Arabidopsis thaliana: one gene and its partners. The protein of the gene in region 3 interacts with the protein of the main gene of each other region in a pairwise test. Each region holds a gene or a part of one and is shown on either strand. Other genes may lie near its edges. The genes, in order: MYB72, IBH1 and NAP1;1.

Region 1 (3,760 bases), on a different chromosome or scaffold from region 3:
CAAGTAACACGACGTCGCGAGGAAGAAGTGCTAAACATACAGTGACTCACAAGCTCTTAATTTCCTTTTTGTTTTGTTTACTTTTTAATGTGAATTAAGTCATACAAGTTGACCACTTCAAATAAACAAACTATTTCTATTGTATATATCTAGACGTATGTGATACATATATAATGTGATTGCCAATCATTACAAGTTTTTACTTAGACCCACACATGCTACGTCACGTTTTAAAACTTTACCTTATGTCCAATCTCTTTTATCGATATTTATTTCATATGTATGTATAAGATATTATATATATATATATAGGACCCTAATGTGTTTATAATATATATCCGTATACGTACGTACAAAAGAAGTACGTATGCTGATTTTGATTGGAAGTTGGGAATGGAAGCATGGATATTATTCGTACTTCCACACATTTTATTAGCACTTTAGATTACCTCATATTACATTTAACCTCACTAAAAGGTAAGAGTTACGAGACTCTTGCTTGCCTAACGTATGCTAAAAGGTATTCATGTATTATGTATTCATGTTTTTGTACATCATGCATTAAACCTATATAAAATTGCATACTTACGTATTTATATAAAGTAGATAGCATATGTATTATACGGATGGAATGATCATTAGTTTTTTTGCGCAATCTTACATCAGAGCCTTGTGGCGTGGATTTGAAGTCTAACCATGCCATGCCATATTTTAATTTATGGAAAACACCAATATATAATTTAATCATCACAACTTATAGTCTAAACAACTACAAAATTAATCATCATACATCATGATTTGGATGTACAACTTCGTGTTTAAACTTTTATTTTATTTTTCTCTTTCAAATAAGGAACTTTGCGTTCTGAAGTGGTGTTTTAAAGATAAGTCATTTATGAAGTCATTTATACGTTAGATATAAATATTTTGAAATTTTATGAAGTGGTGTTTTAAAGATAAGTCATTTATGTTCAGTTTAAAACGCAATGTCTATATATACCAGTATTCTCTAATTACTAATAGAAATGTGAACTTTCATTATTCTTTGTATTAAAACTTCATAGCAAAAAAAAGTAAATAATATTCCCTCCACATCAATTTAAGTGATGTTTTAAGGGTATTTTGTTCTTGATTCATTATAAGTGATGTTTTCAATTTGTTAATATCTTAATTTTTTTGGCTAATTATGTTTTACATCATGTTTTTGTTATTGTCTGAAAACTGAACTTAATGATGTTTTTATGTAAAAGAGATAAATTAAATGAATGTCTTGTGTTTTCTTAATTTATGCGTAAAAACCTTAAACATTAGATACAAAGTGATTAAGAAGTAAATAAAAGGAGTAAATAAGAGTAAACTTAGATGATGATGATGATGATGTGGGTTGAGTTTTATAAGAAATACGAAGACGAGTAAATAAGTTAATAGGCTAAAGAAAAGGATTATTGAATTCTCCTTCTGAACTAAATGTCAAATAATAAGTGTCAGGATTAATAAAAAATAAACTGATCTGAATTAATTAGGATTACAGTCTACAGATTTATTCTATTTATTTCTCCAATTGGTGTTACTTTTGTTTGTGGCATGGCCCTTGTGGTCTTTAACACACACGCACACAAACAACCGCTCTAAAGTTTACAATATACTAGATTTCTACTCGCTCATATCAAAATCTAAAGTCGAAAATCTTTTTGTATAAAATATTTAAAACTGAATAATCAAGAAATGTATCAAACTATTTAAATATTTCCGTGATGCTCAAATTAATATACATATTTTTCGTAACTCGTCAATGAATCATGCATAACTTGTTTACACAATTATACTTAATGGACACTATGATCTGTACACGGGCATATGAGTAACAAAAGAAATTTAAGAGATTACTAGTTAAAATCTGCCGTTAACTTCCGTACGTTCCATGCTTTTGGGTCTCTCTCTACGAGTGAAGTGCCTCAAATAAATAAGAGTTTTATTGAATGGAGTGGAAAATCTAATCTCTAACTAATAATTATAAAACATCTTCTGACGTAAAGAGCCGGGTTATATCAATGATATATATATAGGAGCTCCTGATAATAATCAAAAACATAACATTGCATATATAGAGAAAGATATAGTGAAGGTAGCTATAGAGAAGAAAGTAGTGTAATAAGAATGGGGAAAGGAAGAGCACCATGCTGCGACAAGAACAAAGTGAAGAGAGGGCCATGGAGCCCTCAAGAAGATCTCACTCTCATCACTTTTATTCAAAAACATGGCCATCAAAACTGGAGATCTCTTCCCAAGCTTGCTGGTTAGTATTTATTCACATGCATGTTTCGGTAATACTATAAAGTTTTAAATAACTAAGAGAAATAATGATTGATATATATACATAGGATTGTTGAGATGTGGGAAAAGTTGCCGACTAAGATGGATAAACTATCTGAGACCGGACGTGAAGCGAGGCAACTTTAGCAAAAAGGAGGAAGATGCTATCATTCACTACCATCAAACCCTTGGAAACAAGTTTGTACTCTACCTATTCATCTAATTTCTTTATAATAAGACAATATATAGTATGTAGAGACTAATTGATATATGTGATCATCAGGTGGTCAAAGATCGCGTCCTTCTTGCCGGGAAGAACTGACAACGAGATCAAAAACGTGTGGAACACGCATCTCAAGAAACGACTCACTCCATCTTCTTCTTCTTCATCCCTCTCTAGCACTCATGACCAAAGCACAAAAGCAGATCATGACAAGAACTGTGACGGGGCTCAAGAAGAAATACATTCAGGGTTAAATGAGAGCCAAAACTCAGCTACTTCGTCACATCACCAAGGCGAGTGTATGCACACAAAACCAGAGCTTCATGAGGTTAATGGACTCAACGAGATCCAGTTCCTGCTCGACCATGATGACTTTGATGATATAACCTCTGAGTTTCTTCAGGATAACGATATCTTATTTCCGCTAGACTCTCTTCTTCATAACCACCAAACTCACATTTCAACCCAAGAAATGACTCGAGAGGTAACCAAATCGCAATCATTTGATCATCCTCAACCGGATATCCCATGCGGATTTGAAGACACAAACGAAGAATCCGACTTGAGGAGACAGCTGGTTGAATCAACCACACCTAACAATGAGTACGACGAGTGGTTCAACTTCATTGACAACCAAACTTACTTTGATGATTTTAATTTCGTCGGAGAAGTATGTCTATGAATGTCAATAATATATGCATGACCAGTGTTGTATCCACTTTTGAATGTTGAGTAAATTACTATTTTACATGGATTGCCCATGCATTGAGAAGATGCTATGTTTTATGAGAGCTCTATGATATTGGTTCGTTTTTCGGCTAGATTCACACAAACAACTCTTCTCTTTTCCTTCTCGATCACTCTTATGGCTGCTCTCAGAGTCTCCGTTTTCAGAGGCCAAAACAGGTCGCAGGTTGATGGCTGGCAATGGCAGCATCGACTGCTTCCGGTGTGTCGAGATCAGGCGCCACACCAAGCATCAAGTCCTGAAATCGAATTAGGTGTGTGTAAGTTTCTTAGCCTAGATACAAACAACAAGAAATATGACTCCAACTGTACTCATCATTTCAATCACTTGATATTTGCTTCCTGTAAGGGCTTCAATGTCAAAAGCTTCTGAATTATCCTAAGTCCATACATATTTGAGAGACTGAGACGGTCTCAGTGAGACCAAACAGAAGAAGAAAAGAAAAGAAAAAAACAGAACAAATACTACAAAGAATA
Region 2 (3,718 bases), on a different chromosome or scaffold from region 3:
TAAGTCTTTGAAAATTCCATAAAACTTGAAAGTTTGTTCAAATATTATTCGACTGATGGAATGAAATTCTGACGAAAACGAATGCACGAATCAGATATTTGATGTGAAATATGTGGAATTGACCAATTTGTCTGTTTACGTACACGTGTATAATAATTGACAAATTAAAGTAGGACACTCGTATGAAATATAAGTATGACCAACTGCATAAATAAGACGTGTAGATAATCCTTCCAACGGAAAATGTGATTATAAAGAAAACAAGTAATCAGAGTCTTGTAATTTTTGTTAATAATGTTGTTGTGAGCGACCATTTGAATTCAATCCGACATAAATCATGAAATGTTAGAGTTATACAAAAAAAAAAATCTCTCTTACCTGAAAAAAGAGTTATACAAAACAAAAAAGGAGTTAAATTATATATATTCTACAAAATTCTTTAACCTATATAATGTCAAGTATTTTTAAGACTTATTCAAGTAACTCCGTGTTAAACAAAAAAAAATCATTTAATTAAATGATTCATAATTCTATAAATATATATTTTTAAAATTATTAGATTTATCATATATTTTCTCAAAAACATAAACAGTCGTATATGTATAGGAGATATATAAATACAGAATGTATATTTTATGATAGTTATAATTCCGCTATAATTTTCTTATAACTAATATGTTATAACTTTATATATATAATCCATCCATAGAAACATCATTGACGAATAACACAATCAAGAGGAACCAAGTAAATTGCATAGCTTAAAAGAAAAGAAGAAAGAAAATTCTCTTAGCATATGATAAGTAATAAATCCCCTTTTATCATATGACAAGGGCAAGTTACCAAGCCCTAATGTTTAAACCGGCCATAGCATATGATAAATAATAAATCCCCTTTTATCAAAATTCAAGAAAAGAAAAAGAAAAAAATCTTTCGTTACTTCGAGACTAATACATATCCACACATTTCATATATGTATCCTATCTTACACGTATGTATATATATAAGAATATATATATATATATATATATATATATACACATATATATTCGTTATGATTACCCCAATCCAATAGACTATGTATGTGTCGTATCTCTATATACATCGATCATTGATGATGATGTTGATGATTAATTGATGATCATTTGGGAGATAAGCCATCAACGAGACACTGCATGACCTTGACCTGCATACTAAGGCACTTGATGTAATGAGCCGTCTCTTCCATCAGCTTTGACGTCTCCATTCCTCCGCCTCCCGGAACAAGATTCCTCAGCCTCTCCGCCGCCTCCTCCACCACCGGAGCTCTCTGGTTACTCCTCCTCCGTTTTGATGATATCTTCCACTTCCTCCTTGAAAATCTTACGATCTTGTTGTCATCTTTGTCTGCTCTACGCAAGAGGGCTCTGCTCCATAGCCGGCTACTCCCTCCGGCTGCTCTGGCCATGGAAACGTACGCAGCCTTCTTGATCTTCCTCACGCGGTAGTTTTTTTGGTCCGGAGTATCAAAAGGGTTTTGTTTTCTGAGATTTGAGAGGGATTGGAGGAAGTGGAAGGCAAAAACGTCCTTTTCAGGGACATCTGTGTTTATGAGTTTGTCTGCAGAGGCCATTGTTTGGGTTTTTTAGAGAAGAGAACTTGAGTTGAGAACCTTTATAAAACTTTTTTTTTTTTGAGAATGACACAATATTAGGGTTAATATAAATGGAAAGGTGGAGAGAGAGAGAGAGATAGAGAGGAATAAATAATGTTTATTTTTCCTTGTACTTAACTTTTCTTTATGTTTTTTTATGTCACAAGACACACAACTATTCAAATTCTCTATAAAGTTTAAATTTAAACTATAGGTTCAACTATTTATAACTCATGTTCTAAAAAAAAAAAGATGTGTTAATAGCTTTGAAATATTGAATTTTGGAGCTTAATTGGTCCGTCAAAGTTACGTTGCGTAAAAATATGAGAATATGAAGTTATAAGTGGCAGTTTTCTTCAATGGTGAACAGCAAATAAATACAGTTCTATGTTTAACTTTGGGGGTTTACTAATATTAGTTCAAATTTTTTGTAGATTCGTCTGTTATGGTTTAGTGGTTTGACATCGATTGCTTACTGGTGGCTACTTAGATGTGTAAATATATCATTATGTGTTAGAATTTTAAAATGAAATGTGAATTGTATAACCCATGTATTTCGGAAAAGTATAATTTACACCTAGTGTTATAAAGTCTTGAATAAATAAATGGGCAATTAGTGGAAAACGATGTTTTGGAGCTTGAAGAAAAAAGTTGATGCCAATAGATTAACAGAACTTGGCTATTTTGGGTATATATATTTGACTATTTTGAAATTTGAAATATTAATGTATACTACACCCAAATACAATATATATAGCATTAATGCTCGTATACATCTTAGCTAAAACAAAATAATAATTCGGATGATGTTTAAGTACTAGACGCAAATTAATCAAGCTCGTTTGGTTCATAGCTTGGTATTAACGGAAAAAAGAGCAATTTAGAGCAGACATCAGATTATGGAATTAGATTCCAACCACACTATTATGTTTATTTGTTTGTTTTTATAAAAGGTTAATTTAGTGACGAATGCGTATGAATTCATTAACGTGAACAGCTAATAGAGACTATTATGATAAAATTAGGTAAGCTATATACATATATGTATGTATTTATGTTAACATTAGTTGACAACTAATGACGATTAAGATGGAATATGATCGATTGTGGAAAACATATAAGCTCATTTTCAAGGCAAAAGAAATAACAAAACCCAAAATATCAATTTAATTGATTCATTACTTGCTCGATATTTACTTCCACAAACAAAATTCAGCCAAAATCCAACTCTCGTGAAACGACTGATTGAGGATGTTTATTCGAAACTGAGTTTGAACTATACGTTAGTTTAGAAAGTAACACCATTGAACCTGAGAATAACTATGATTATTTCGACGATATAAAGTGTTAATAAACTTAATCAATTAGCCACTCGCATCATCAAGATAAAACGTGTTTAAAATTGATCAGATATATAACAAAGTATTCACCATGCAAGAGAGCAACAACAAAATATGAGATTATTCAATTGGCTTGACCAATAGATGACGTTACAATTTATATACACCAAATATTACTAACCAATTTAGAAAAGACAACACATGAAAATATAAAAGAAGAGAAGAGAGACTTGAGGAATACGATAAGTGTTTGGTTAAGGCTATAATTTAGCATTAGTCCCATCTCTTTTGTGTTAATCACTCTCTCCCCTACCGCTTTGCCGCCGGACGTATTTTTCACGCCATTTAATTCTTTTGTATAACATCATCATGATCATATTTATCTTTTTTCAAGATTCAGCTCCAAAATCCCTTAAATCTCACTGTTTTCTCTAAGGTTTCAAATTTCACATCTATCATAAAAATACGTTTAAAGATTAACAATTTCGGGTCAATAACAATTTACAAAATTGTTGATATTAGGAGTGAAACCAAATGAATAAGAAGGTGTTAATCATATAATAAGAACTAAAAAAGAGTTGAAGAAGTGGTAGAGTAGGTCCACTAATGGGCCAACCACCACATGAAGGCACATGGCTATGGCCTTTACCCACCTCCACTTTCCTTTCTCTCTTATCTTTATCTTTAATTTTTTTTTGTTCTAATTATTCAATTAATATTAACTACACCATTCGTTTTCTTTGAT
Region 3 (3,760 bases):
AGCTCAATGCAATCAGCTAATAAGCAGAATATACTTAAAAGTATACAACAATTGCAAGAGAGTATAAGTAGTTACCCCATAGCCTTCTCAAGCAGTGGCTCATCTTCATCAATCATATGATAAGACTTTGTCAAGACAGTGTTCTTAAAATACGGATTCGTGTCAAAGAAAAACTCAAGTTTGAATCCTTTAGGCTCTTCAATCTTGCACCACTTAATATCTTTAAGATATTTGAGAGCCCCTTCATCACGCTCTGTGACCTGACATAAATGACAATAAGTTATGCTCATATTCCATGGTTATGATTGGAGTGTTTATAAAACGAACACCAAAACTGCATATAGGCTACCTCCTCGGAAATAACATCGTTATTTTTCAGAGCTGTCAGCCAGAAACTTGGAACTCCTTTCTCTGCAATGAAAAACAGAGAAAAATGTTAAATTGTTTTTGTCTTTCCAAAAAGATTAACAACAAACAAAGAAGACATAGTGCTCATGAAGTTACCTTCTGCAGTTTTCTCCTCTCCTTGGTCCACCTTGGTATCATCCTCTGGAGCCAGTTCAACTTCAGTAGTGCCATTCACAATCTCATAACGCTGTGCCATTACAAGATACCAAGTAGAATTCATTAAGATGCACATAGAAAACTAACACTGCTGCAGATAAGTAAACATAAGCAAAAAGAGTATACACAGATCTACATTGAGTTTAGTAAAATGGTTTGTAAAACTTTCTCATTAACAATTACCTTGACATACAAAGGCTGATACAGCGTTTGATACTTGGCTTCAAGAATAGCTCTCTCCTCACGGAATTTTGCCTCTAGTTCATCATGTTGGCTCTGCGTGGAAAGAAGTCATCAGTAATCAAAACGCAACACCTTACTTTTGAAACTTTAAATTCAGATAAGCAGGGAGAAAACTCACACAAAACAAAACAAACCCCATTAAACGATATATAGCACACATAGTTTGGTAAAATGTGAAAGAAATTTCGCTAACCTGTATATCCCTCAAGGCATCAACGCGCTTTCTCACATTGGGAGTCAGATTCTCGAGCACATCAGAACGCTGACCAGCCAGATTCTGCAGCTTGTTCTGTGAATTAATAACAATGTATTAACAACTCATAAACTATCATTGTACTAGAAGAATGACATTGAAACCAAAACACTAAACACCAAGACACGGCTTATAGTATCTAAACAATCAGAGGAAAGTAACTCAACATCCTCCATATCTTTCAATAGCAAATGCTCACGGGACAGTTTACAGAAGGGGAAAAAAACTCACCTTTAGAGCATTGACAAGGCCAGCTCGATCCTCGTCCTTAAGAGCTGCAAAAAAACAGTAAACAAAAGGAACACCAGTCAGATAACAGAGGAAATTAGGGTTAAAGCAGCTCTGGCTTAAGAGGCGGAGAAAGAGATAAGAGTAATCGTGAGTAGGAGTATTTTACCAGCAGTAAGATCGGAGACGTTGAAGCTATCCTTGTCGTTGCTCATCTTCTGAGGATTTGGTGAAGAGAGAGATTTTGAAGAAGAAGAAGCAGAAGAGACTAGGGACAAGGGTTTTGGGGAGGCGACTCGTAACCCTTAAATCCTCTTTGTTTTTTTGTTTTTTTCTCTCCCTCCTTTTCACACCAAAATTATAACAAATGCCATTTTAGTTTTTTCTCTTTTTATATATACTTTTCTTTCTCTAAAAATTGATGTTTAATGTTTTAAAAAGCAAAATTAAGTTTATTGAATTAAATAACATGCAAAACTTTACATACATATATATATGGATAATGAGAACTGACTTATATATAGATAATTAAAGTTTATTTATGAATTCAATCAATTATAAATATATATAACTAATATATAAACTTTAATTATCTATATAATTAAAATTTTGCATGTAATTATATTAATTATCTATATACTTATATATATATATATACACTTATATATATTTGATTCTTCACCAAATACAGTACAGGTTAGTGAACTTTAATGGGATCAAATAGAAGATTTCTGAATCTGTTAGTACTAAGGCCCATCCCAAGAATGAGCCTTCCAAGCCCAATACACTGATTACTTCTTTTGTTCACATACACTGTACATACTAATTAAAAACAAAAAACAGTCCACAACAAAAACAAAAAAACAGTCCACAACAAAAAGTCATATCCCAAAAGGCACAAAGATCTTTAGTTTGGTTTAAGCTCATCCCGAGTTCAAACGAATTAAACGTACTCTAATCTAGATTAGCTCATCACGACATTTTCAATTTGAAGTTTCAACCTTTTATACGTCTGACCAGAAACACAATAAAGAAGCCTCACGCGTAGCATTTTTTTTTAACCAGAAAACCATGAGACAAATTCAACCTAATCAGATAACTGTAAATCATTTCATTCATCCTATTAAAAGCAAAGGTGAAAAGCTTTTTGTACCTCCACGACTCCCACTTAAGAGAAACATTTTGTAGAGCTTTCAAGTCACGCGTAGCAAACACACCTGGTAAGTGGTCAATCTTTTTATATCATATAGCCATCATAAGAGTATCATTAATAGTAGTTTCTTAGCATAATCTTAATAGTTCTTATGAATATTTTTATAATTGATTTTGAAAATTTTGAAGTTAAGAATTTAGTTAAGAGATTGAAATTTTGGCAATATGCAATGGTGGACTCTTAACTTGAGTTCTTAAAAAAAAAATTGGAAAAAAAGTAGAAACATTATAATTTTAAAAAACTTAATAATTATTACAACTCAAAAAATTTGAAACATACATAACATAAAATTTTAAACAAATATGACAAACAATTAGATTTAATACTTAATTTATCTAAGAATTAAGATTAATTGAATTAAAACATTATATTTAATACCTAATTTATCTAAGAATTAACCTAAGAAACATTAGATTTGGCTCTTATATAAGAGTCATTTTTAACAATTAATTGAATTATAACATTAAATTTAAGACCTACTTTATCTAAGAACTAACCTTATAAACTATGAATAATGATGGTCTAAGCGCGCTTGTTGTTGAAACTCTCAAATAAACCGGATAATTTTAAAACCAGGTTTAGTTTAGTTGGTAGATTCGGCTCAAATAGTAGTATTTTTGTGGATTTAAAGATGCTCAGCATGTATATACATATGTGTTCTATAGATGTTTTACACATTTTTTCTATTTTACTATTCTGCTTGCCATAATCATTAGATTGTTTGGTTGAACCGAAGCATAGAAACCAAACCGAACATAGCACACAGCAACAAAACCGGAATCATTCAGAGGTAAATAATTTTTTTACATTACCCGCAACTGCAAGGAAAGAGGAAAAAAAAAAAGACGCAAACTTTGAGAAAGACATCCTCATCGTTTTCTGTCCATCGAAGCTCTTTTTTTTTTTTTTTTTTTTTATCTTCGTATTCAATTCTTGAGAGGAGAGAGAGAGAGAGAAGCATCCCAGAAAACGACATTCTGTTCATATGGAGTTTTTTCACCAGATCGAGAGCACGAAGAAGATGATTACTGGGTTTTGATTTAGTCGGCGAAAAATCCGTAATCTCATTGTTCGTGATCTCTGGGTTGTTTTTCTGGATTGCTGGTGCGGCTGATTCTAGTCAGGATTGTTTTTGGGGTCCCTTTCGCTCTATTTGAATCTGCGTCTGGGTTGTTAAGATTGTACAAGGGGTTTCGTGGTTATTTATGGAACCTCGTGTGGGGAACAAGTTTCGTCTCGGCCGAAAGATCGGTAGTGGT

What was found.
Region 1: the proteins of NAP1;1 (region 3) and MYB72 interact in binary tests that used the Arabidopsis thaliana proteins (3 or more experiments, as listed by UniProt).
Region 2: the proteins of NAP1;1 (region 3) and IBH1 interact in binary tests that used the Arabidopsis thaliana proteins (3 or more experiments, as listed by UniProt).

Annotation. Positions count from the first base shown.
Region 1 is NC_003070.9:21,020,227-21,023,986, forward strand, and holds MYB72 (myb domain protein 72), read left to right. Parts: upstream 1-2,157; coding exon 2,158-2,296; intron 2,297-2,381; coding exon 2,382-2,511; intron 2,512-2,532; exon of another isoform or gene 2,533-2,596; coding exon 2,597-3,218; 3' UTR 3,219-3,361; downstream 3,362-3,760. UniProt on the Arabidopsis thaliana protein: Involved in metal ions homeostasis, including iron ions (Fe) acquisition, via the regulation of NAS4 and NAS2 genes expression. Necessary for plant survival in alkaline soil where iron availability is greatly restricted.
Region 2 is NC_003071.7:17,907,141-17,910,858, reverse strand, and holds IBH1 (ILI1 binding bHLH 1), read right to left. Parts: upstream 1,853-3,718; 5' UTR 1,613-1,852; coding exon 1,142-1,612; 3' UTR 649-1,141; downstream 1-648.
Region 3 is NC_003075.7:13,230,455-13,234,214, reverse strand, and holds the start of NAP1;1 (nucleosome assembly protein1;1), read right to left. Parts: upstream 1,648-3,760; 5' UTR 1,504-1,647; coding exon 1,458-1,503; intron 1,336-1,457; coding exon 1,292-1,335; intron 1,097-1,291; coding exon 1,001-1,096; intron 841-1,000; coding exon 748-840; intron 596-747; coding exon 505-595; intron 412-504; coding exon 350-411; intron 261-349; coding exon 76-260; intron 1-75. Other genes in the region: CK1 (casein kinase 1), read left to right, coding at 3,707-3,760. UniProt on the Arabidopsis thaliana protein: May modulate chromatin structure by regulation of nucleosome assembly/disassembly. Contributes to the regulation of cell proliferation and cell expansion. May function in nucleotide excision repair (NER). Involved in somatic homologous recombination.